Linked DNA regions of Struthio camelus. The protein of the gene in region 1 interacts with the protein of each later gene in a pairwise test. Links are inferred from orthologs where the notes say so. Each region holds a gene or a part of one and is shown on either strand. Other genes may lie near its edges. The genes, in order: AHCYL1, CDKN2C and GEM.

Evidence for each region.
Region 2: the proteins of AHCYL1 (region 1) and CDKN2C interact in binary tests that used the Homo sapiens proteins (3 or more experiments, as listed by UniProt). The two-hybrid records come from large-scale screens. The link is inferred for Struthio camelus from reciprocal best matches to the Homo sapiens genes AHCYL1 and CDKN2C.
Region 3: the proteins of AHCYL1 (region 1) and GEM interact in binary tests that used the Homo sapiens proteins (3 or more experiments, as listed by UniProt). The two-hybrid records come from large-scale screens. The link is inferred for Struthio camelus from reciprocal best matches to the Homo sapiens genes AHCYL1 and GEM.

The regions. Positions count from the first base shown.
Region 1 is NC_090965.1:4,283,174-4,290,985, reverse strand, and holds the start of AHCYL1 (S-adenosylhomocysteine hydrolase-like protein 1), read right to left. Parts: upstream 3,051-7,812; 5' UTR 3,036-3,050; coding exon 2,766-3,035; intron 1,799-2,765; exon of another isoform or gene 1,681-1,798; coding exon of another isoform or gene 1,603-1,680; intron 1-1,602. UniProt on the Homo sapiens protein: Multifaceted cellular regulator which coordinates several essential cellular functions including regulation of epithelial HCO3(-) and fluid secretion, mRNA processing and DNA replication.
Region 2 is NC_090949.1:30,975,644-30,983,693, forward strand, and holds the start of CDKN2C (cyclin-dependent kinase 4 inhibitor C), read left to right. Parts: upstream 1-5,022; 5' UTR 5,023-5,168; intron 5,169-5,525; 5' UTR 5,526-5,537; coding exon 5,538-5,666; intron 5,667-8,050. UniProt on the Homo sapiens protein: Interacts strongly with CDK6, weakly with CDK4. Inhibits cell growth and proliferation with a correlated dependence on endogenous retinoblastoma protein RB.
Region 3 is NC_090943.1:149,190,522-149,197,958, reverse strand, and holds the start of GEM (GTP-binding protein GEM), read right to left. Parts: upstream 3,018-7,437; 5' UTR 2,870-3,017; intron 886-2,869; 5' UTR 877-885; coding exon 546-876; intron 1-545. UniProt on the Homo sapiens protein: Could be a regulatory protein, possibly participating in receptor-mediated signal transduction at the plasma membrane. Has guanine nucleotide-binding activity but undetectable intrinsic GTPase activity.

The DNA.
Region 1 (7,812 bases):
CCGAATTACAATGCGGCCTGTTTGACTAGCTGGAACATCACGTCCCCGGCCACCTAAGTTCTTTGGCTGTCACCAACCTGAAGTAAACAGATTCTGCAGCAGCAATAAGCTCGTTACCAAGGCCACCGTATTGATCCCAAAATGTAATTAAAATTCACAGTTCAAGCAGCCCAGTACGACAGGGCAAGCGGGGCGGCCTCCCAAGGGCATGAATAGCCACAGCTTCCGCGTCCCGCTTTCCCAGAGGCAGGGAGCCCCCGGGGTCAGCGAGGGAGGAGACCAGACACACACCAGCCTCAGCCTCCTGGGCTGCTCAGAAAACACCCCAAACGGCAGCCCTCTGCTTGCACCACCCACTGAGACATCCAAAAGCACCCATTCCCCATGTCCTGCCCCGTTGAGGGTTAACCACATTGGGGGAGCATGTCGTGATGACGTTCAGCCCAAGGTTAAAGGGGTATGGTGCAAAACAGGCTGAATCAAAGGGAGATGGTCAAGATATAAACATGACCCAAATCGTGGGACAGAGCCGTTCAGATACTGTAGAGGGCTTTGATGGAGGGGCTCTGGAGTACCCCACCGCGGTGATAACAAGATGGTCCTCCTCACCAACTCTCCTCTGCAGGACTCCCTGACCTTCCTACGCTGGACCCAGCCTTCCACTGATCCAATCCGGTCCCTTAACTCACTGATAAAGGGGGATCGGGCCAAGCGGTTATAAATTGCAGAAGCATTAGCTCAAGGTCCTTTGCACCCATTGCTCTACGGCACCAGCAGCAGGCTCTAGCACAGTCACCTCAAACGTCACCACAATCTGCTCAGTGAACGTGAGTCAGAGTCCCCAGATAAGCAGCGCTAATCAAAGAGCTCCACAGGAAACGCAACAAGCCTTCTGCAAACGGGAACGTCGCCACAGGAAACTCCTAATGATAAAAACACAGTCAGGCACAAGCAAGCCTCCTCCACTGAGTGCTGCTCAGAGCAGGCAAGTCCCACTCTTCCTCTTGCTCAAACACCTGGGACAATCCACTTGCCGACCCCTTGGAGGAACCACATGAGTAAGATCCTCACCTGCAAAGCTCTCTGTTTAGCCAACCAGTTATCTGAAAGGGTCAACTCCAACCCAGCCCTGAAGGGCTTTTTCCAGAGCAAAAAAACCAACCTCAAAGCACAACCTGTAGCAGGGAGCACAGAACAGACTCCAACATTTGCACAGGCTGGAAAAGAAGAATGGTGAAAACTGTCAGGGTCCCAAAGAAAGTATTGTTATAGGCTGGTCCCTGGCACAAGACAATCTCACATTTTGGGAAAGGCCTCAAGAAAACACCACTCTTCTGTCATCAGCCCACTTCCCATGCTCCAGACCTGGCGGCTCACATGGAAAGGAGATTTCCACCAAGAAATCTCAAAGCCCAGACTGGAAATGGAATGGGGCAAGTAGGACAACCAGCACTGTTCAGATGGGCTGACCCCAACTCCCACACAACTGCAGCTGGCACCACTAAAACAAGACAAGAGCTGCTTCTGAAGACTACAGGGAATGAGTAGCCAACTCCTTTCCTATCTCCAAAGACCAGACATCAGAGTGGAAACCGAGCCTACCTCATGCGACTGCAGGAGGAGGAGAACAGAGATGCAAAAAACCATTTGCCATGGCACGTCATTTTGAAGATGGCTCATTTTCGGTCAGATCCCCAAAAGCTCCTTTCTTCCTGCTCTTCAGTTCAAGGAGAACTTAAATCAGCATCTTTTGGTCTTGCAGCAGGGCTGGGTCACAGGGACAGACCTCCCTTACTGACAGCAGCGAGACTCTCCAAGAAGTCAGAGTGCTGAGAAGGACCCAAGGGGAAGAATGACTTAAAACATAAATAATTAAGATTTGGTCATTTAACACAGCACCACCAATGACCTGTCTGCTTCCAGCGCCCAGCAATTGCAAAGTAAATCATCTTAGCTCAAAACACCCTTGTGGGTTGCACTCGCCATGGGTTAGGGATACAATCAGGTCAGGCTTGAGCTGATCATCTAACCGCAGCAATGCGTTCACATATTACTGCCTTTTTGCACCCCAAGAAAGGCCAGATCTATCCCAGATGGTGTGTGAAGAGCAGAATGATCCCTTAACAACATCCCAGCCTAAGCAGCTCATTGTCAAAAGGAAAACCTGCAGGGAGACGAGAAGAGGGTGAGAAATCAAAATACCATAGAGGATTTGGGTAAGGAGGTGACAATCACATGCACCACTAAGCAACCAAGCAAGGAGATGGTGGGACAAGCACCCAAAGGCAGAGGAAGATTTACAAGCAGTCTGTCCGCTTAAGGGATGAAATAAAAAAGAGAAAAAAATAAGCAACTCTAGAAGCTCTGTCAGAATAAACAAGGACAACCTTGTCCTCCTGACAGATCTAAGGCAAAGATAGACTCATTAGCACCCTGCCTGAGAGAGCAGAACCGCAGAGACCTGAGACAACCTGGGACTAAGAAAAAAAAGGCAGAAAGCCCAGCTCCAGGAAGGGGCTGTGCAAGGAGCAGGGACAGAGCAGACTGCAGCAAGGTCAGACACTGCTCAGGCAGCGAGAGTGCAGCTCATGCAGGCGACCTTAAAAAGCAGCAGCAGAGATGATGCTTTGGGGAAGGCGGCAAGCCCTTTCCAGAGGATGGCAATCCTCCTGTCAGCTCCCCAGCTTTTCCCTGCCCCGTCCCCTTCCCCTGCTCCCATCTCGTGCCACCCCTGCATCCGCCAGCACGCGGCTCCGGCTCGGTACCACTGCAAAGCCGCAGCACGGTGCATTAGCATTCTCCTCTGCACCGCCAGCACACAGCCTCAGCGGGGCTCCTCTGACGCCAGCATCCGCAGGGTCGCGGCGACCAAACCCGCAGAGCCCGCGCCGTTTGGCCCCCGGCCGCGAACCATACTGAAACGCAGGCGACGGGCTTGCCGGCTTCGCGAGGCACACGGGGGTGCCGCGAAGCTTACGCCTCCCCGAGGGCAAATTAGAGGCTGGAGCCCATTTCACGCTCCAGCTCTGCTGCATGAATAAGCAGATCGGTGTGCAGAGCCGGAGCACGTCCGTCTGCCGGCACCCAGGTGCGAAGGAGCAGGCGAGGAGGGGGGCACGCACCAGGGGACCACAGTCCGGACAGACATTGCGCGCTCCCTCTGCTTTGACACCGTCATCCAATCTCACGGGACAGCGGACGCCACGCGACAAGGGTACAGCCCGGCTCGGGCACAGTGACAGACAGGGACAGGGCTTGTAAAGCCCCTTTGCTCTGCCATCAGTCTCTAGGCACAGTGTCACATCGCGCCCCGCTCTAGGGCACACGTAGCTCAGCTCGGCCGGGAGTTTAAAGGCTCCGCTGACCGGCTGATTTGACAGCAGTTGCTTTCCAAATCCAAGGGCACCTCCAGAACTCCAGGGAGACAGAAGAACCGATGCCCAGATGCACTGGTGATGGGACCCGGGGATCTAGAAGAGCACACCCTGCCCTTGAGCTCTCCTTTCCCTGCTTAGACGAACCCATATTCACTTCTCCCTGGGCAAGGCACCCCAAAATTGCTGGTTTCCAAAATCCCCCAGCAACATCTAGGCACACACTGGAGAAAGTAAAAGGCTCAATATCGCTCACCTCTGCCTTCAAACCACTCTCTGCCAAGGAACCGCCTCACTCTGACCAAAGCTGGTGTTATTTTGCTGACAGCCCAATTTCCAGTAAACTGCAGCAAAAAGGGAGCTTCGGCACAGCCAGACAACCCCAACTCCTGGAGGAAAACTGACCACATTTCTGCAGAAAGGCTACAGCTCTCTTCCCCTCAACTACTTTGGCTCCTACTTAAACCCGGAGTTGATCGCGTTTAATCTCTTAATCTCTTACCTCCTGCTGTTTCACTTTTTCACCTTAACCAAGTCAATGACAAGAGGGAAAATAAATATGTCAGAGATCCCCCGGGCTGGTTACGTAGCTCACAGGATCGCTCCAGGTGCCTCCAGGGCAGTGTAGCAAAGGCCAGGAGCACGGTGACTTCTTCAGAGGACGCACGGGGCCAGCGTGCCCTCCGGCTACATCGGAGACCTTCCTCTAGGGCCGAGCTGGGCTCTGACTTCGGGAAACCACAGCATCAGCTCCCCGGCGCCGAACACGGGACACTCACGGGCTCCTCGCGCCAGCTCCTCTGCAGCGCACTGGCACTTTCTGCAAGCGCTGACACAAGTTAAGGCTCTTCTTTGAAAAGCTATTGAGCAGGGCACACAAAGGAGCCGAGCCTGCGCTAACCTTGGACGCGTTCCCTCCATCTCCAAAGCCTTATGCAAACTACATCGCCAAAGTTCAAGGAACCAAACACCGAGCCGGGACGCTGCTTCAACAGCGCTCCGCGATTCCCTCTACCTCCACGCAGGTAAACTAATCTGTCTCGACCATCTCTGACCGCGCGGAGTGCTTCAAAGACAGAAACACAGCAAGTGCGCAAGTCACTTTGACTCACATTTAAACAAAAAGAGCATTTTAAGGGTTTCACGGTGATCCTGCTTTGAAGACATAGGAAAACGCCTTGTGCTGGGGGCACTCAGCAGCTTATCTCAGGAGGGCAGTTCTCCCCTCCTCGTCCTTTCGTTCCCCTGCCAAGGCCGCCGCACTGACTGAGCGCTATTCACAGTAACTAGCCAGGCAAGGAAAACAGCGGCCCAAAGCGTTTTGTTCCTTGACCTCAGCTGCATCGCGCACTCCCCAAGATCGCACTGCCTGCTGATGTTATCAACCTCAAACAACTTGCGTTGCTCTGGGCACCTTTAATAGCATCACCCAGACGGGAAAGGCTGCAGCAGCCACAGTCTGATGGTTGCTCTTCGGCTGTGAAACAAGCCTGTAAGCACAGCAACTTCAAGGGGGTAATGCAACACCCCTTATCCCCACAGATACGAGCAAAGCCCATGAGGGTGCTGGACTGATTCCCTCTCCACACGCACGTTGCTTTCCCTTCTGCTACTTGTATTTTGGCCCTGTAAGATACTTGAGCAGTAGTAGTTCGCTCTTCCTTCTCAAATCACCTGGCTGGTAATGTTCACACAGCCATAGACTCGCGCTTTTAACTAAACAGCTCTTGTGGAAGATGTTGACGATAAAAAGGAAAGAAAAAAAAAATCGCCCGAGTTTGAGCCATGTCTGGCTGTGCCGCCGAGCCACCTCTGGGAAGAGGCAGATCCCAGCTCCGCATTCCTCTGCTCCTTGCTCCAGGCGACGTCCACAGGCCGGATAAACACACGCAAGGCGCAGGGAGACCCACCAGGCCCTCCGCTCCCTGGCGGCCGCGCGCCAGCCCGAAAGCCGGGACGAGGAGAGAGAACCCAAACGCAGCCGACTGTCAGCGGCCTTTCCACAAGGGCCTACCGCTCCCCTAATCCCACGGCTCGCCGGAGCAAAAGACGCATCGCCCGGAGAAGGAAGACATTTGCATTCGCTGCGACTGCTCTGCCCTCGGCTCCCAGCTCCGAGGCACGCGGCTGCAGCCCCGGGGAGAACGCAATGTTCGGCACGGCAGGGACCTCCGGGTACCCGCGCGGCGCCTCGCGGCACAAATCCACCGCGCTGGCAGGAGCCGCGACTTCAGCGGCCCGTTAGTGAAGCTCGGCGCCCAGCTAGGCAACGGCACGCAGGCGTCCGCTCGCTCTCGGCCGGCCAAGCACCAGCCGATCTAAAAGCCGGGTCCTGCTAAAACAGCCATCCGACTTCGCAGGCAGAGCTCACCTGCTCGCAAGCCCCATCCGGGTGCACGCTGACGGTTATGCAAGCAGGGCTGCTGTTGGCTGGGGGGCAGCCCAGGGAGATTTTGGGAACTCCTTGGAGAAGGTCTTTAAGGATGAAAGGGTGAAGAAGCGACGTGGGAGAGCTCAGAGCTGGGGGCTGCTCTGGCAGCCTCTGTCCCAGCCCAAACATGATCCCACCCAAGCCTCCAACGAAGCGCCCCGTCCCCAAAAGTTCAATGCTCTGAATTTCCTATTGCTGCCCTTCAGGGTGACCTACAGGAGGATCCCCAGGTCACCGCAGCCAGCTCGCTCCATTTAATGGGTCCCCCCAGCCCCCTTCCACCTGCACTCCTGCCCTGGGGACACCCTCGAGGCACCCTCACGCCGTGGGGTGCCCAGGACCCCACCAAACCAGCCCCTCTGCTCCTCCCTCGATTCAGCCAGCCCAGCTCCACGGTGCTGAACAGGACCCATTGGTGCTGCCCTCACCCTGGTACCAGCTGCCCTACCAGGGCTGACCCCAGCACCTTCCAGATGAGGCCACGCCACACCGGGCCACGGCTCCCCACGCCGCTGGTACCGGTCCCCCATCAGCACCTCCCCTGACCCAAACTGGGCCAGGGCCGTATCCCAGTACAGGCCCCTCAGCACCGAGTCTGCCCCCCTCAAACTGGGCCAAGAGCCCCTTTCTGGTACCAGCTGAGCCCCAAATGGGGCCAAACATGGTTTCCTGGTAGCAGCCCCCTCTGAACCTGGTACCTGCTTCTCTCTCCCCTGTTGAATGGGGTCAGGTCCCTCTTTCCAAAACCCTCAAGCTGCACTAGGTGCCCCTTTCCCAGTACCCTCTTCCCAACTGGACCAGCCCCCTGTTTCCCAGTCCAGCCCCCCTAAGAAGTGGGCCAGCACCATGGCCTGGCCACCTTGAACTGGGAAAGCCCTGGCCCTGCTCCCCCATGAACCAGGACAGACCCCGCTCCCCGGCCCGCGACAGACCCTGCTACCCATCCTCCCCTCCCCGGCCCCGGCCCGCCACGGCCCCCGCTCCCCGGCCCCGAACCGGCCCCGGCCCGCCACGGACCCCGCTCCCCGGCCCCGAACCGGCCCCGGCCCGCCACGGACCCCGCTCCCCCCCGCCCCGAACCGGGCCGGCCCCGATGCTGCCCGCCGGTACCTTCTTGGGCGCCTTGGTGACGGTGGCCATGAAGGAGTACTTCTCGGCGTCCTCGATCTCCTTGGCCTGCTTCACCTCGTCGCCGCCGGCCGAGTCCGGTACCGACATCCTGCGGCGGCGAGGCGGGCCGGGGCCGCGAGCGGCGCCGGGCGCGGAGCGGAGGGGCGGGGAGGGGCACAGCGCTGGGCCCGGCCCGGCCCGGCCCGGCTCGGCTCGGCTCGGCTCGACCCGGCCCGGCCCGGCCCGCTCCGGTGCCGCCGGCTCCGACCACTCTGCGGCGCGGACCTGCAGCCGCCGCGCTCGGCGCCAGGGGCGGAGCTGCCCGCCGCCGCGACGTCAGCGCGCCCTGACGTCAGCACGCAGCCGCCTGGCAGCGAAGCCGCACGCCGGGGCCGGGCGGCGGCGCGGCGGCGCCCCCTGGCGGCGGGAGGGAGCCGGGTTTGGGGTGAGGCGGGAGGGAAACGGGGAACCGGGAAAAGAGATTGCAACCGACGCGGGAAGAGGAGCGCAAACCAACGGACGGGCGGCAGGCGGGGCAGCGGGGACACGCGGGGACACGCGCCCGGTGACACGGGGACACGCACACACAGCCGGGGCACGCGGGGACACACGCACACACACGCGCGTAGCAGTGCGCACACACACACACACAACCGGCGCACACAGCAGCACGCACAACCGCACACATAGCAACACACACATGTGCAACCGGTGCACACAGCAGCACGCACAACCGCACACATAGCAACACACACACACACACACACAACCGGTGCACACAGCAGCACGCACAACCACATGCACAGCACCATGCACACACAACCGGTGCGCACAGTGGCACGCACAACCCCACGCACAGCACCATGCACACACAACTGGTGCACACAGCAGCACGCA
Region 2 (8,050 bases), on another chromosome or scaffold:
CGCACATTTTGCCTGTCATTGAGGTCGCAAAGAGGCGCTTTGCGGCTGACACGTGACCAGCCTCCTGTCAAGCGCTCGCGAAGCCGGGGGAAGGGGCGGGGCGGCGCCTTTCCGGCCGCGCGCGCCCCCGGCCGCCGCCGCCGTCGCTCCCGCTCCCGCTGACGGGGCGCGCGCGCGCGCGCGCGGGGGGAGCGCCGCGGCGGGGCGGCCGGAGGCGCTGCTTTCCGGGGAGCCGCTCTGTGCCAGCGGGGCCGGCCCTGGCGGGGCGGGACGGGGCGGGGGGGGGGCTCCCTCCGCGCCCGGCCCCTGCGCGGGCCCATCCCGAGCGGCCCCCGGCGACGGAGGCGCGGAGCGGCGGGGGGGAGGGGGGGAAAGGGGGAACGTCCCCCCTCGAGGGGGCGGTGACAACGCCGCGGCGCGGGGGGAGGCGGCGCGGGGCGGGGGGGGGGGAGCAGCGGGTGGGGCTGGGGCTGGCGGCCGCCCCCCCGGGCTGCAGCGCGGCTCCGGGAGGCGCCTGCAAACGCCGCGGCGGGCGCGTCCCAGCGCGGTTTGCACTTGCTGCGACGGCGCATGACTTCCTGCAAAACCTCCTTTTTTTTTTTTTTGGACCGGGGGCGGGGCGGCTCCGCGAAACGGTGAATTTCGCCCTCTCTGTACTTCCCTCGGAAAGAGTCCGAGCCGTTTTCTGAGCCGACGGAGAGTAACGTGCGCGACGACCCCTCGCTGCCGCTGGCCGCGCGGGGTGCCGCGGCCGGGGCCGCCGCGCTGCGCTAGCGCGGAAGGGCCGGCGAGAAGGAACGCTGCTGGGGGCTGCCTGCCGCCGCGCCCTGCCGCCCGCCCCCTCGCCGCTGGCGTTGAACACGGAACGCTCGCGCTTTCGGACAGCAATTTGCTAATTAGCCCAACACGTTTTGTTCGGCCCTTTGTATATGTTCGGTGGGTGTCCCGGTTACCTAAGGCCAGAAAGGGATTAAGCACCTTTCTTCTTAGTGAAAGCTAAGGGAGCTACGTTATGATATACTCCCTGTGAATCAGGTTATTTTCCCCTCTTTAAGAAACGTAGTTCTCCATTGTTTTTTTCCCCCCTCTACTCGCCTTCGTGAGGCTTATACACGAGTTTTTCAGTCGGTGTACTTCCTGCTGACTACTGTAATTATAGCAACAGGGTGCCAAATAAAAGGGAGACCTGCGGGAAAAAGAAGCACAACTGCACATCACAGCAGAATCCATTAAAAAAAGGGAGCGTGACTTAGGGAGAGACAGCAAATAAACACCGCATGCACGTTACATACAGTAGATGGGTACAAAAAATGTTAAATTGCACCTTCAAGACAGTCCATTTCCCCCAAAAGAATGCTGTAGGTATGGAATTATCTAAAGCTTGCTGCTGAATGCTATTGAGGGCTGTGATCTTCACGATGCATTCGGGTTGCTTCTGGTGGCTGGATAATCACTCCGAATTTCAAGGTGGATTAAAGCTATACTAAAACTCCACTAGTGATGCAAAGCCAGATAAGTTGGATATTATATTGTATCGTATTCCTGCGTTAGTTTATGTTGGCAAGGTTGTGCAAGAGACCTTTATCACTCGCTCATGTTAGCTTAACAGTTCGAGTTTCCCACCACCGAATATATGGATGATAATGTAATTGCTTTCACACCTGCTTTTCTCAGTTTGATGTTACATACAATTCTGTAATATGTACAAGGTATGGTGCAATGCCAGTGACAGCCTATACTAAATTACGAACAAATCCACCCACGCATTACTTGAGAGTAAGTATCATAAAGGCTGAAAAGCAAGTTTTATAAATTGGATTGAAGCCAATTAATTCCTGGCACGAATTTAAACTAAAGTTACGTTGTCAAGGTTAGTTACATAGTGTTCACGTCTACTAAAGTAATATTTTAAATCATAATAGGTATATTAGATCAAAAAAGGAAGCAATTGAACCACAATGTGAAGAAAAGGTGAAAAGTTAACATACCGTACATCACAGGAAGTTCATGTTAAAGTCACAGTGAAAGTTTCTATTATTCTTTTCACAACTCATAACTTCGACATACTCCTCTATGTCTTTTTTCTCCTACAAGTATTACAAAATTATAGAGGGTAAAGTGGGTACTTGCTGACATGACTCATTGCAATGTCCGGTGATAGTATCTCCCTGCAGAAGGTGTTTCAGCCGCTGATTTTGATTCTGACTGAGGTTACACTTTCTGTTTTATGAGGGGTATCTTGATGATTGTTAAAAGGAAGTGACCATAATTCGTGATCATAATATCATGCTTTTTTCTGCAAAGCTCTTTGAAGGACATTAGAAGCAAGTATGATGAAGAATGTTTGATGGCTTTTTCTGGCTGGGCAATTTTACTCGCAGAAGGCCTGCAGCATCCCAGCTACAGTTTAGTTAATTATTTTTGTTATGTAACATGATTAACAGAAGATGGACGCTTCCTTTTTAACTGTAAAACAAAAAAAAAGTAGTAGGGTAGTGTTGCAAGACTTTTAGGACTAATTCTGCACTAAATTAGCAACGAGTAATACCACCAAAACCTTTAGATTTTAGGTACTGATTAGTCACAAAATAGGTCCTTTAAAAGCCGACTGATTCAATATTCTAAGTATTGTATATTAATGCCTTCCTTATGCAAAAAAGTAACTATATTTAAATATATGTATTTCTATATACTTCTATTTCTAGAGTTAACTTCGAGGGGAGTTATAATTCGTATCTTTGTTTACAAAATTCAGCAGTATTGCTTGTGACCGAGAATTATGATAATAAGGCCCTAAAAGTTTCTTCCTTTCTTTCTTTTTTGCATGTGTGGGGCACTTGATAATTTGAGCACAGCTGGATTCTCTGCTTTTTGTGTAGCCAGCTCATAGCTTTTCCCCACGGTGTTTTCACAAACAAGGGGGTCAGCACAGAGAAATGTGACTGCGAAGCAACAAGCTAATCAAAACTTACAGGAGAGTCAGACGCATAAGTAATACCTACTGCTAACTTCCTTTAACTATTTAGATTGCAGGTTGGTCCCTGTAAAACTGGTTATGTCTCTCGCAGTCGTAATTGTAAATCAGGCCCGCGACACGTGCTGTCTCTGCCTTCATGTCCATGGCAGGTTTCTGGGACGGAACTGGGGCGGTGTTTTATGAGCTGATATTATTGTCAAACAGGTTCCCTCCCTGAATTGGCTCATACATGTTTACATTCAAACTAACTTTTCCGTGGTGTCTACACGGACAGCTACAACTGACAGATTACGTATGCTGCCTGGGGAGCCGTGACATTGAAGCCGCGGTGTAACTCGCCTCCCAGGCTGTTAACTATTGCAGAATTCAGCTTTTTCGAGGTCCCCTGAAACTTAAAGCAATTCAGCAAGTCAAGCATTTCAAAGCATTAAATGATGTTAGTCAGAACGGTAATAAAATCTCCATACTGTACCGTCGTTACTTCTTTTCCCTTTGAAGCAGTGAATCCCTCACGTCTTCCTTGTAGTTACGTGCCTTTTCCCCTCAAAATGGCCCTTTCAAATTAACCAAGAACATCAGAAACACGAACAGCAAAGATTTCTGTTCTGCATTCTCGCCTCTCACAGCTACCGCGACTTGACATTGGCCCTTCATCCGTGACCTTGTCCCTGCGGAGCAGAGCCAGCACCGCGGCAGGACCGGACCCTGCCCGGGAAGCCGCCGCCTCCGCGGTGCCGGGCCGGGGCCGCTGCGGGCAGGTGGGCACCGCTCGGCCGCGAGCCCGCGGGACCCCGGGGCGGCGGCGCTGGGTGCCGGGGGAGCGGCGGGGCGCGCTGCCCGCGGCGGCTCGGCCCTCCGCGCTGGCGCAGCGGCTCCGGGCGCTCAAGCGCTCCCGCTTTAGGCCTCGGCAGCGGAGCCTCTGAACCAGCGACCTGGCGACTGCGGCGGCGGCGGGCACGTCCCTGCCCTGCCCGGTCCGCCAAGCGGGGGGAGCCCCGCACGGCGCGGGCCCCGCCGCCGCCCGGCGCGCAGCGTGCGCGGGACCGGAGCCGGGACCGGAGCCGGGGCCTGCGCGGCGGGGCCGGGCGAGGGGCGGGCGCCGTGCAGGCCTTCCTGCCCGCCCGCCGGCCGCGCCGCAACTCCGCCGCGCCTCCTTAAATCTCTGCCGTTAAAATGTGGGCGGGTGTTTCAACTCAAAAAGCGCTCAAATTTTTTTTCTTTTCAAAAAAAGCTGATGAGGTTAAAAAAAAAAGGGGGAAAGAAAAAAAAAAAAAAGAAACCGGCTTCGTGTCCGTAGGAAACAGAAGTAGAGATTGTTTGTGCTTAAAAAAGGGGGAGCGTAAAGTCGCGGGCGGAGGCAGCGATTGCAGACCGGCAAGTGCAGCTTTATTTTGCAAAGTTGAAAGAAAAGGAAAGCCGCTGCTGTCACTGCGCGCCGGAGGCTGCGAGCCGAGGGGCCGGCGGCGGCACAGCTGGTTGGCGGCAGCCGGGGTGCCGCGCTGCCCGGGCCGCCCGCGCCCGCGCGGCTGCTGCGCGGGCTGCGGCTGCCCCGGCGCAGCCTTTGCCCTCCGGGCGCTCCCGGGAGCCGGTCCGCCTCCTCCTCCTCCTCGCCCGCTGCTCGCACACACCGCTCCCCTTCCTCGGCGCGGCCAGCGCGCTCGGGACGGCGGCAGCGAGAGAGGCACCACCACACCGGGGAGCGCCGAGCCGCCCAGCGGAGCGCCGAGCGCCGGCCGCGGGGCCCGGCCGCGCCGCGGAGACGGCTGCGCGCCGGCGGCGCCGCGGCGGCTCCGCGCCCTGAGCGCGGGCGGCGGCATGCGGCTGCCTCTGCGCCGCCGCCGCCGCCAGGCCGCCGCCGCCGCCCGCGGCCCCGCCGGCCTCCTGGATGCGCCGGAGCCGCCGCCGCCGCCGCCCGCCACCGCGCCCGCCCGCTGCGCCCGGGCTCCGCCAGGACGCGGGATCGACGCTGCTGCGCGAAGCCAGGAGCGCCGGGGCCGCCGCGCCGAGGGAGCGAGCGCTGCGGCCGGCCCCGCCGCCGCCCGCCGGCCCCGCCGCCGCCCCGCGCGGCTCGCCCTGGAGGCGGCCGTGCCGGCTGCCAGGGGGCATCCCCCCGGGCATGGACGCGCGCCGCTAGAGAAGACTTTTCTTCGGAGCTGTTGCTGCTAAGTCTCGCATCCCGACTGTGAACAGGGTGGGTTGTTTTCTTCTTCAAAGATTTCAGGGCTGACTCAGGCTCCAGGGTACGTGTATATATGTTACATATAACATATATCATATATTTCATAGCTTTTAATATATTTCCCTTTAAACTGGCCAAAGTCTTTAATAGGAGTTACTCTATATGTGGAAGCGAAGAAATCTTCTTTCAAGTGGAGCTGCAGTTTTGCTGAATAATCACGTGTGAGTTAGGGGCGGGCTCTTGGCAAGGAGTTTTTTTACGAGTATTTACTACAAGGTCTACTCCAGAAGATTAACCATCCCAATCCTTCTGTCAGTCTCCGATGCCATGCCTGGTTAAAAAAAAATCTCATCTTTTTCCGATCGTCAGTCACCCTAAAGAATGGCCGAGCCTTCTGGGAACGAGCTGGCGTCCGCGGCTGCCAAGGGGGACCTAGTGCAACTTACTAATTTGTTGCAAAAGAATGTAAACGTCAATGCACAAAATGGATTTGGGAGGACTGCGCTGCAGGTTGGTATCCAGAGAGGGAGAAAATATTTCATCACTGCTACCTACGTGACCCGGGTTTCCAAAAAGACAACGTTTTAAACAGGCTGGTGGACGAAATTCGAGTGTTTTTTAAAGTAGTTGGATGCCATATTTTATAACTTTAGTGGCTCCAACTCCCTAAAATGACGTACTTGAAATAAAACTGGTCAAAACCATTATTTCAGTCGGGGATCACCCTCAATGTCAAACGGGCTACAAGTTTAATAATATTTTGTAACTTAGTGGGGAGGAGGCAAAGAATGGAAGAGAGGAGATGAAAAGAAATCATCTTAGGTGAGCAGGATTTCAGAGCAGGTCTGTAAACACATCTGTGTTACTATTTGAAGCTTAGAGTTATTTTTTGTTCCCCCTATAGTATGCTGTTAAAACATTGCTTTTCTCGATTATTAGTTCTGCGGTAGATGGTACTTTTCCTTTATACGCTGTTTGTGACGAATGACCTTTCTCATTTCGAAGCTGCTACACAGAATCGAGTACCTTAGATGTACATTCATAGCTAGCCGAATGAGTTACAGCTCAGTCTGAATCACTTGCCTTTTCATTCATAATTAAGGCTTAAATATTTGAATTTTTAGATCGGATGGCAAGGCATTGCTTCCAGCTATTTCATTTCTGATCGTATAGGGTCCTCTGTCCTAATTTTTAAGTGGGTAGCTGTGCAGACAGGATTTGGAACTCATCCAGCTGCTAACTATTGGAGCTGATGAAAGATTTCTCTTTTCATAATATCAGATAATGATGGCGAAAATGGTAGAATGCATACAAAATAGTGAAATAAGTGATTTATAAATCAGGAGGAAATGTGTGGTTATTTATATACTTAAGGGAATGTAAAGAAATGTGGAAGTAGAGCTGTGGGACTTTTTAATTTCACACATTAGAAAAATCGTTTCTATTAACTCCTCTCTCCCCCTCCCCCGAAACCACGATATTCATTTCTGAAATTTTGTTTTCAAAAAGCATGTAGCTTGCGAATGCGCTCGAGATATTTACAGGTTTTTGGCTTACCATCAAAATGTTAGACCTCGAAAATAAGCACCTCTTGTTGTAAAGCAGTACTGACCCTTGTTTGACAATTTCACCTAAACTCGAGAGCTGTAAGATTATCTTTGCACTGTTATCACCTAAATAGGACATCGTATGACAGTGCAGACACTCGCAGCAACTTTTAGGAGCAGGGAAGGATTTAAATTAGAAACTTGTACAAACTAACTTTTTTTAAAAAGCAGGAAACATTTAGCTAGATGCTTTATCCTCCAGACGGGGGCTGAAAACCGAATGGTACTACAGTAATGTATTTTGCTAAAAGAAACTAAACGTCCGTGCCCTAAATTAAGGAATATTTTACACAAGGACAGAGCATTCAGCTATATTAAACACGCATCTGTGTACTAACAATACTTTTTATTGCAGCCTAATCATAACTGAGTTAAGGAACCGCAAACAAAAATCAAAACAGAAGAATCTGTCTACTTATTTTCACTATGTATCATCCTGAAATGTGTTGTGGGTGGGTGACCACGCTCGAAAGGGTTCTCTGTCAATACAACCTCCAAAATCGAGATAATCTCTCAATAATCTCTCTCTCACTCACAACAGAGAGAATGCTTATTTGTTAATTCAAATTAATATCTAATTTTCTTCTGGATTTATGTTTAATTGGACAAGTGCTTGTCTTCCTCTGTACTTTTTTTTTTCTGATGAAGTGTACCTATGCAGGCCTCAAATGCAAGTCCTGCCCTTACGCTCTTCATCAGACTTATTCAATAAATACTTTCTCCTTCTTTGCCTCCCCCAGCCAAGTGAAACTTTTCAAAATAAAGGGCATTTGCGGTATAGTTGTATCCCACGTCCAAATAGCATCACCTTTTATAAGGTTTTCTCCCCCCCCCCCCGCATCTTTAAATTAAGCCTTCAGTCCCCAAACCTGCCTTCCTTGAACACATAAGTGGCAGTTGCCACTTGAACCAAATACATGTTTTGAATACACAAATAATACAGCCTGGGCCCTCAAAAAGAGACAAAAATGTCTAGATTTATCAAAGAAAGAGAGAGCACAATGCTTTTATTTTCCTTTACATCGCTTACACCTCTTTTCAGAATTGAAAAAATGGCACATAAACATGCACGAAATATTGTGCCCCAGATAAATGTCTTTCCCTGAATCCCATCCTGTCTTATCTGTAGTTTTATTCCTGTCTGTAGATGCAATATAATGGGCTACTTTACATTCTAAATGCTACAGTAATTATATTTACTATAGGTGTGTCTTTATTACAAAGCCTAATACATATTTTTCATTGAGAACAGTATTTCAGCAAATGCCTTGTGCAAATTACACATGT
Region 3 (7,437 bases), on another chromosome or scaffold:
ATATATTTATGCACGACTTCTAACGGCAAATATTTTGGAGGTGATCAAAGAACTGGATGGGGAGGGGGTATTTTTCATTATATATTATTTTTAAGCATTACATTCTAATAAAACAAGGGCATCTTCTTTTTTTTTTTTTTTCTGTCCCGCACAGAAAGTAGGAATTGACCCTGTGGAGCCAGTGGTGACATATTTTGGACATATGTGTGAGAGCTGAACCAGCCTTTCCCTATAACACAGGCACAGGCAGGAACATAGCAGCTTCCAACAGGTATTTTAAAATGAAATAGCATGAGAAGCTACATTGCTGCCTTGCAGAGGCTTTAGATCCTCATTAGTGAGGACCTTAGTCCTCGTATCTAATTTTTTTTGCTTGTTTTCTTAAGAGAGATAGATGTGTTGGAATCAATTTTGATGATCAGACCCAAGTGTTGGTTACCTCAGTTTCAGGTTAAATGGTCTTGCTAATTTTCTGTGCCTTAATGCCATTGCTACTGACAGGGCTGCCCTCAAGTAAACAAGCGCCCCAGGCCATCATGACCTACCTCCTAGCACCTCACAGTCGCTGTCAATGCTGTCATGTACCCCTGCAAAGATGTTGGCCAGCGACGACTTGCCTACACCGTGTTCCCCGATCAGCACCACCCGGTAGCAATTGCTGCTGGATTCAGAGGAGATGACGGAGTCAGACGACTCCGAGGACCAGCTCCTTCTGTAGTAATCGTCAGGACTGATGGTGTATCGTTTCTGTGCATTGTATTCATTGGAGTCCTTCTGGACCAGCGGGTGCTTTCCATCAGCAGGGATGCTCCATCGCTGCTGCTGCTGCAAGCCACTGTTGTTGGTGCGACGCATGGTAACATTGTTGAGGGTCATTTTTTACCCCTGGTGAGAAACGTGGAAACGACAAACATCACCCACAAAGCATTAGAAATGCGTTAACACCCTCTTCCCAACCTCAGGACAGTATGTAGAACCCTACAGAAGAGCTGGACTATACAACAACAACAAAAAAAGAGGCTTTCTGCACTTCTTTGTTGCTGCTGGTACACAAAGAAATTTCTAGTTAGTGAGTCAGAGCTGCAGCTTTCATCCTAGGGACAATACCACTGTCACATGCTAAATCCCAGCTTTGTGCTTTGCTTAGCTGTTGCAGGCTCACTGCTGTACTAGGTGCAGCGCAGCCCTGGAGATACTGCAGCATTGCTATGTCCCAGGAGGAGAGCAAAGGGGCAACATCTGCCAGCGCTGTCATGCCTGGGAGCCTGCATACAGCTGCATCCTCAGTGAGGCAGCTGATGGGACCCTGTAGGTGCCAGTCCCCACCCTTCATGCGCAACTGTGGGCAGAGGGACCAGCCGCAGTCACCTCCAGTTCCACTCCAGTGGGTGTAAAGGGTGAGCACGGGCGCACCCCACGGCTGCGCCCCATTCCCTACATTCTCCTGGCATAGACAGGCTGGTTCCTCCAGCAATGTCAGCCGTGCACACCAAAACACAGTCACAAAATAAATCCTATTTTGCTTGCAATATCGCTCCCATTGCCTCAGTTAAAAGTTTAATCTTTTGGGAAAGTAAAACGTGCTAGACAGCCCTCATGCTGGAAACAAATGATGCAAGCAAGTCTTGTTATAATGTATTTTGAATAGATTTTGATCTCAGCTATAGCAGGACAAATAAAAAATAGCTATCGCACAGAGTAGCATTTTGGCTGGTAAAAGTGAGGATGCAACCAAGTCCAGTGGCTTTTCTGAGGAGATACTGAATCTGACCTCTAAAGAAGGTATCACTGAGAGTAAAAGCTCATAAAGTTACAGATAGTAAGTCAATAAATTAATTTACCACAAAAGCTGCTCATTCACATTATCTAAGAACGTTTGTTCATCTTACACAGCTAGTTAGCTCACCTTATCTATGCATGGCTCTTAATTACATTTTACTTTGCAAACTCTATTTTGCCTTGGTTGGAAGCAGAGTGCAGTGATGTCATTTTCACAGGCTAACAGCTACCATTTTTAGGAAAGATCCTTTGATATATTCCAGTTTCCAAAGTGACAGTTATTTAGATATTTTACATTTTAGCATATGTCTGATGTTTCTTAGCTCTCTTCTCTATATTAATAAACAGCATATCTGTCTGCACAACGCATCAGACCACTTTCAATAACAAATTTTGAATATTTTGAATAAGAACTAGTGAATGAAAATAATTGCAGCAACACATCAAAAAGACATATACAAATTGTTTTTCCTATCCACATAAAACTTTATGAAAACTTCTTAGAATAAATGTGCAGCAGGTCATAGAACAAATAGGCAGAAAGAGCACACTCTAACTAAACTTATTCCAACTTATGTGATATTTTCACTGTGACGCACAGTACTTTGTGGCAAGATTAGATCATATGCATAGTCTAGTCATAGTAACTTTGCCAGGAAAAAGCATACGTAACTAGAAACCTCGCACCAAACGAAGACTGCTTCACAAACAAAGTGAAGTTTTTCCAGTACTTTAATTTTAAAATCCATTTTTTTCTTGTAGTTTCCCCTCTGAAACAATGCATGAGAAAAGCCACCTCTAATCCAGTCAAACAATGAACAATCACTAAATCACTATCTTCAGTTAACAGTCAATCAATAAATAGTCCAAATCATAAATATTTTATATTTTTTCCCTTAACAAATTATCATCCTTCATTAAACAAATCCAAACAAGAGAAAGTCTTATAACTCACTACTGCACATAGCATTCCCACTTCAAATTATTTTTCATACCACAAACTGCATTTAGCATTAGCTATTTGGTCTGTCATTTACTTATAGTAAAATACTGCATTTGGACCAATGCATTTCAGCCAACACTGCCTTACTTTTGACGGGCTCTTCCCCGCAGTCAGGTCCTTTGCTCTCCCTGCCCTTCTCTCTCAGTGGAGTGTGATACACTGAACTGGTCTGCCAAAGCAAATCCTCTTCTACTTATGGGCTGCCTCTTTAATTCGCTCTCAGCAAACCTGGTTTATATTAAGCCCATCTGATCAGAGACAGGGCTTTTCCGTGACGTGTTTGGCCTTTCCATACAACAGCCAGCCCCCAGCTGGGAGGAAGCGGACACGCAGAGGAGCAAAAACTTACAAACAATCTCAAAAGCTTTCCTTGAAACCATATGATTCCCCTAATGTTGCCAGTAAAATAAACATGTTTGGTTCTCACAAGATGAAGACAGGAAAGTGCAAAAAAAAAATTATATGTGCTGTTTCATCATCACTCAGTTTTTCAGTCAAGTGCTATTAAAATTGATGATGTTTAAAAAATGGCATAAGCTTTATTAATGCATAAAATGCTGCAAAAGTGTTATGTTGTCTCTCTGCAAAAAGCAACTGACTATCTGGTGGATAAATGTTTCTTTGGAATAAAATATCATAATGTTATTTTGAAGATATCTTAAAAGCAGGAGGATTATTCTATTTTTTTCTGAAAAAGAAGTTCTAATACATAAGATCCTATTTTTCCTGCTTCTCTTAGCCTCCAAGTCACTGCATGCAGTTTTCTGAATCTCATAATCAGCTCTCGCTTCTGCTGTAACCCTTTACTAGCAAAGGTTTAAAAAAAACAGCAGACCACAAATTCTGTGTTGCTCCAGCTTGACAGTGGCATAGATGTATCAGCATTAACAAGCACAAAGTCAGAGTAGCATAGTGCTTATGCAGTCCATAGTTTATTAGGAAAGATGAATATATAGTGTACGTGGCGCAAAACAAGGGCCTGCTCCTTAAATTTTAACAAGCTCAAATGTCATTGGCACAAGAAATTCTGCCAGGAGGAAAAAAACTGTAATACTGTGCCACTGGGGGACACTCCTAACAACATAGAGAAGGTACTTCTCGATTAACAGATGAAAAATGAACTGCTTGGTAAGGATGCCACAAGTTATATAAAAGTATATGGAAACTCTATAGTCAGCCCTCAATTATCTAAATTCTGCGTTATCTATGATGAGCTCAAAAACAAGCTCAGAAAATTTTCCTTTATATTTACAATCTCCTGGTTAGTCTGTTGTCCCCTAAAATCAACGTGTGACTGTAATTTTTATGTTGCACTTTAGTTTGAACAACTTGATCCATTTCTGAACAGGGATAAGAATTTTTTTTTTCATGACCCCATTCTTTTCAGTTACAGACAAGTAAGCCTTTAATTAACCATATATCTTTATTAAAGAGAACAGTGATATGCAGAAAAGAATGTCTAGTACTGTTTGGTGTCTAGCACTTATTTCACATACCTCTACATTTTTATGCTTTGATTAAAACCTGTAAACCGACTTGTTTTCCTGTGAAAACATAGACCTTTCACAAATTCTGCATTGGAAATATGCTCGTCTTGTTTCCCCTTTGCCTTTCTTGCATTCCTGTGTCTTTCTTGGGGATTTTCAGGCACCTTCTGAGCCTATTCTCAAGCCTAAAGAGATGAGAGCCCAATAGAGACCATGTCCAAGTACGAGCATATTGCTTTTCCAAAGTATATGCTCATATTAACATACATGGAAATTATTCATATCTACTAACAGAGTACTCAGACAAAACTTACTGCTTGGCAGTAGCTGAGCTGGCCGCAGATCCTGCGTCCCCACTCACCGGTCCTTAGCACAGCAGGCTCTGAGTCTGTTGCCATGTGGTCACCTCAAAGAACACAAAACAGCTCATCCTCTGCGCAGCACATATGCAACAGCTCTGTACAGCATGGCAAAACCCAGCAAAACCTCTGTCAGGGAGAGTTTAGTGTTACCTTTATGGCATGGCCAGCAGTTTCTAGGAGGAACACTTCACTCTTTTGCTGCCTGCATACTCAGCTTCACTTTCAGCGTTGCTCGTTTTTGCAATGTGCTGGAAATCACAGAATCACAGAACGGCCAAGGCTGGAAGGGACCTCTGGAGATCATCTAGTCCAACCTCCCTGCTCAAGCAGGGTCCTCTAGAGCACATTGCACAGGATCGCGTCCAGGCAGGTTTTGAATATCCCCAGGGAAGGAGACTCCACCACCTCTCTGGGCAACCTGTGCCAGGGCTCTGTCACCCTCACAGTCAAGAAGTTTTTCCTCAGGTTCAGATGGAACTGCCTGTGCTTCAGTTTCTGCCCGTGGCCTCTTGTCCTGTCACTGGGCACCACGGAGAAGAGACTGGCCCCATCCTCTTGACACCCTCCCTTCACATACTTGTACACCTTGATGAGATCCTCCCCTCAGTCTTCACTTCCCCGGGCTAAACAGGCCCAGCTCCCTCAGCCTGGCCTCATAGGAGAGATGCTCCAGTCCCCTCATCCTCTTTGTAGCCCTCCGCTGCACTCTCTCCAGTAGTGCCATGTCTCTCTTGAGCTGGGGAGCCCAGAATTGGACACAGCACTCCAGGGGAGGCCTCCCCAGGGCTGAGGAGAGGGGCGGGATCACCTCCCTCCACCTCCTGGCAACACTCTGCCTCGTGCTCCCCAGGAGACCATTGGCCTTCTTGGCCACAAGGCCACACTGCTGCCTCACGATCAACTTGTTGTCCACCAGCACTCCCAGGTCCTTCTCGGCAGAGCTGCTTGCCAGCAGGTCAGCCCCCAACCTGTACTGGGGCATGGGGTTATTCCTCCCCAGGCGCAGGAGCCTGCGCTTGCCTTTGTGCAGCTTCAGGAGGTTCCTCTCCGCCCAGCTCTCCAGCCTGTCCAGGTCCCTCTCAATGGCAGCACAGCCTTCTGGTGGGTCAGCCACTCCCCCCAGTTTAGTATCCTCAGCAAACTCGCTGAGGGTGCACTCTGTCCCTTCCTCCAGGTCACTGATGAATAAGTTGAACAAGACTGGACCCAGCACTGACCCCCGGGGGACACTGCTAGCTACAGGCCTCCAACTTGACTCTGCGCCACTGACCACAACCCTCTGAGCTCGGCCATCCAGCCAGTTCTCAATCCACCTCACCGTCCACTCATCTAACCCACACTTCCTCAGCTTACCTACGAGGATGTGACGGGAGACAGTGTCCAAAGCCTTGCTGAAGTCCAGGGAGACAACATCCACTGCTCTGCCCTCATCTCCCCAGCCAGTCATGCCATCAGAGAAGGCTATCAGATGGGTCAAGCATGATTTCCCTTTCGTCAATCCATGCTGACTACTCCTGATCACCTTCTTGTCCTCCATGTGCTTAGTGATGACCTCCAGGATGAGCTGTTCCATCATGAAGGTGACAGCGTTACTGGAGTACTGTGTTCTGCATCTTGCATCCATTTAGTTCTCTTTAACTTGTCGGTAATTTGTCACTACATATAAAAAAGCAAAACATATCTACCATGGGAATGGAGAGATTTATAGTCAGATTGATCTAAGCAGAACTGTGGGCTCTAACGTCTCACCTAAATGATTAACTTATATCATAGTAGAAAGCACAGACAGTAGAAATAAACCAAAGCACAAAAGCACTTGTGTTTCATTATGGTTAGTCTTAGATCAGGAATTGCTAGACATCATCTTGCATAAATTCTTCATAAAATTCAAGGCAGACAAACGAAACATGGTTTTCTAGTGATCACACAATGTATCTCTTCTATAAGACGGTCCACAGGGATTGTCCCAGCTATGACATGAAGGGCTTGTATTTGGGAAACTTGCACACATATTTTCCCTTGTGTTTTCTTTTCTGAGCCTATTTCCAGTTTTGCCGACTTGACAATTAACTCTCCATGCCTGTTCTAAACTACAATATGCCTCCTTTCCTCCTATAACAAAGATATCAGTCAGTCCTCAGGTAATGTCATCAGTACCCATGAATTCCAATCCTTGTAACTGTGGAGAATTTTTTTTTTTTTACTTTTTTTTTAAGCAGGGGAAATGTGCAGCATCCTAAGCCTGCTGGTACTTACAAAGGATAATAGCAGGATGACTAATGAGGCATATGAATGGAGCCCTTCTCAATAAGGCTGATTATAGGCTTAAATTTCCAAATAGAAGCCAATAGACTGATGGATGCACATGTGGCTCTGGCAGCTCTATCTTCCTGCACTCTTTGCTGGTCAATGGTTCTGTAACTAAAACTGCCTGAGATACAGGCATGAGAAGAGACAAGCATAAGGCCAGGTGCTGTCATAAAGCACAGGAACGCTCAGTGCGGCCATTTGGAGCAATATTAAAACTCAGGGCGACGGCTTTTTACACAACATTGCAGAGTAACAATTAGACCCATAGCAATGGGACCAAAAACTTATTTACATCAGCTTGTATCCATAGCGTTGCCTTTGGCTTTCCTGCTTCACACTCAGTGACTGAGTAAGAAGTTGCACGCCTAGCAGGGGAGGTAAGGGGAGAGAAAGTAATCTGAAATCAGGAGGAGTGAGCTAGGTAAATGAAGGGTTATGAGCCTGGGGAGAGCTATCGAGGGTCTTAATTAAGCTCAGGAGAGGGGAGAGAAAGAGA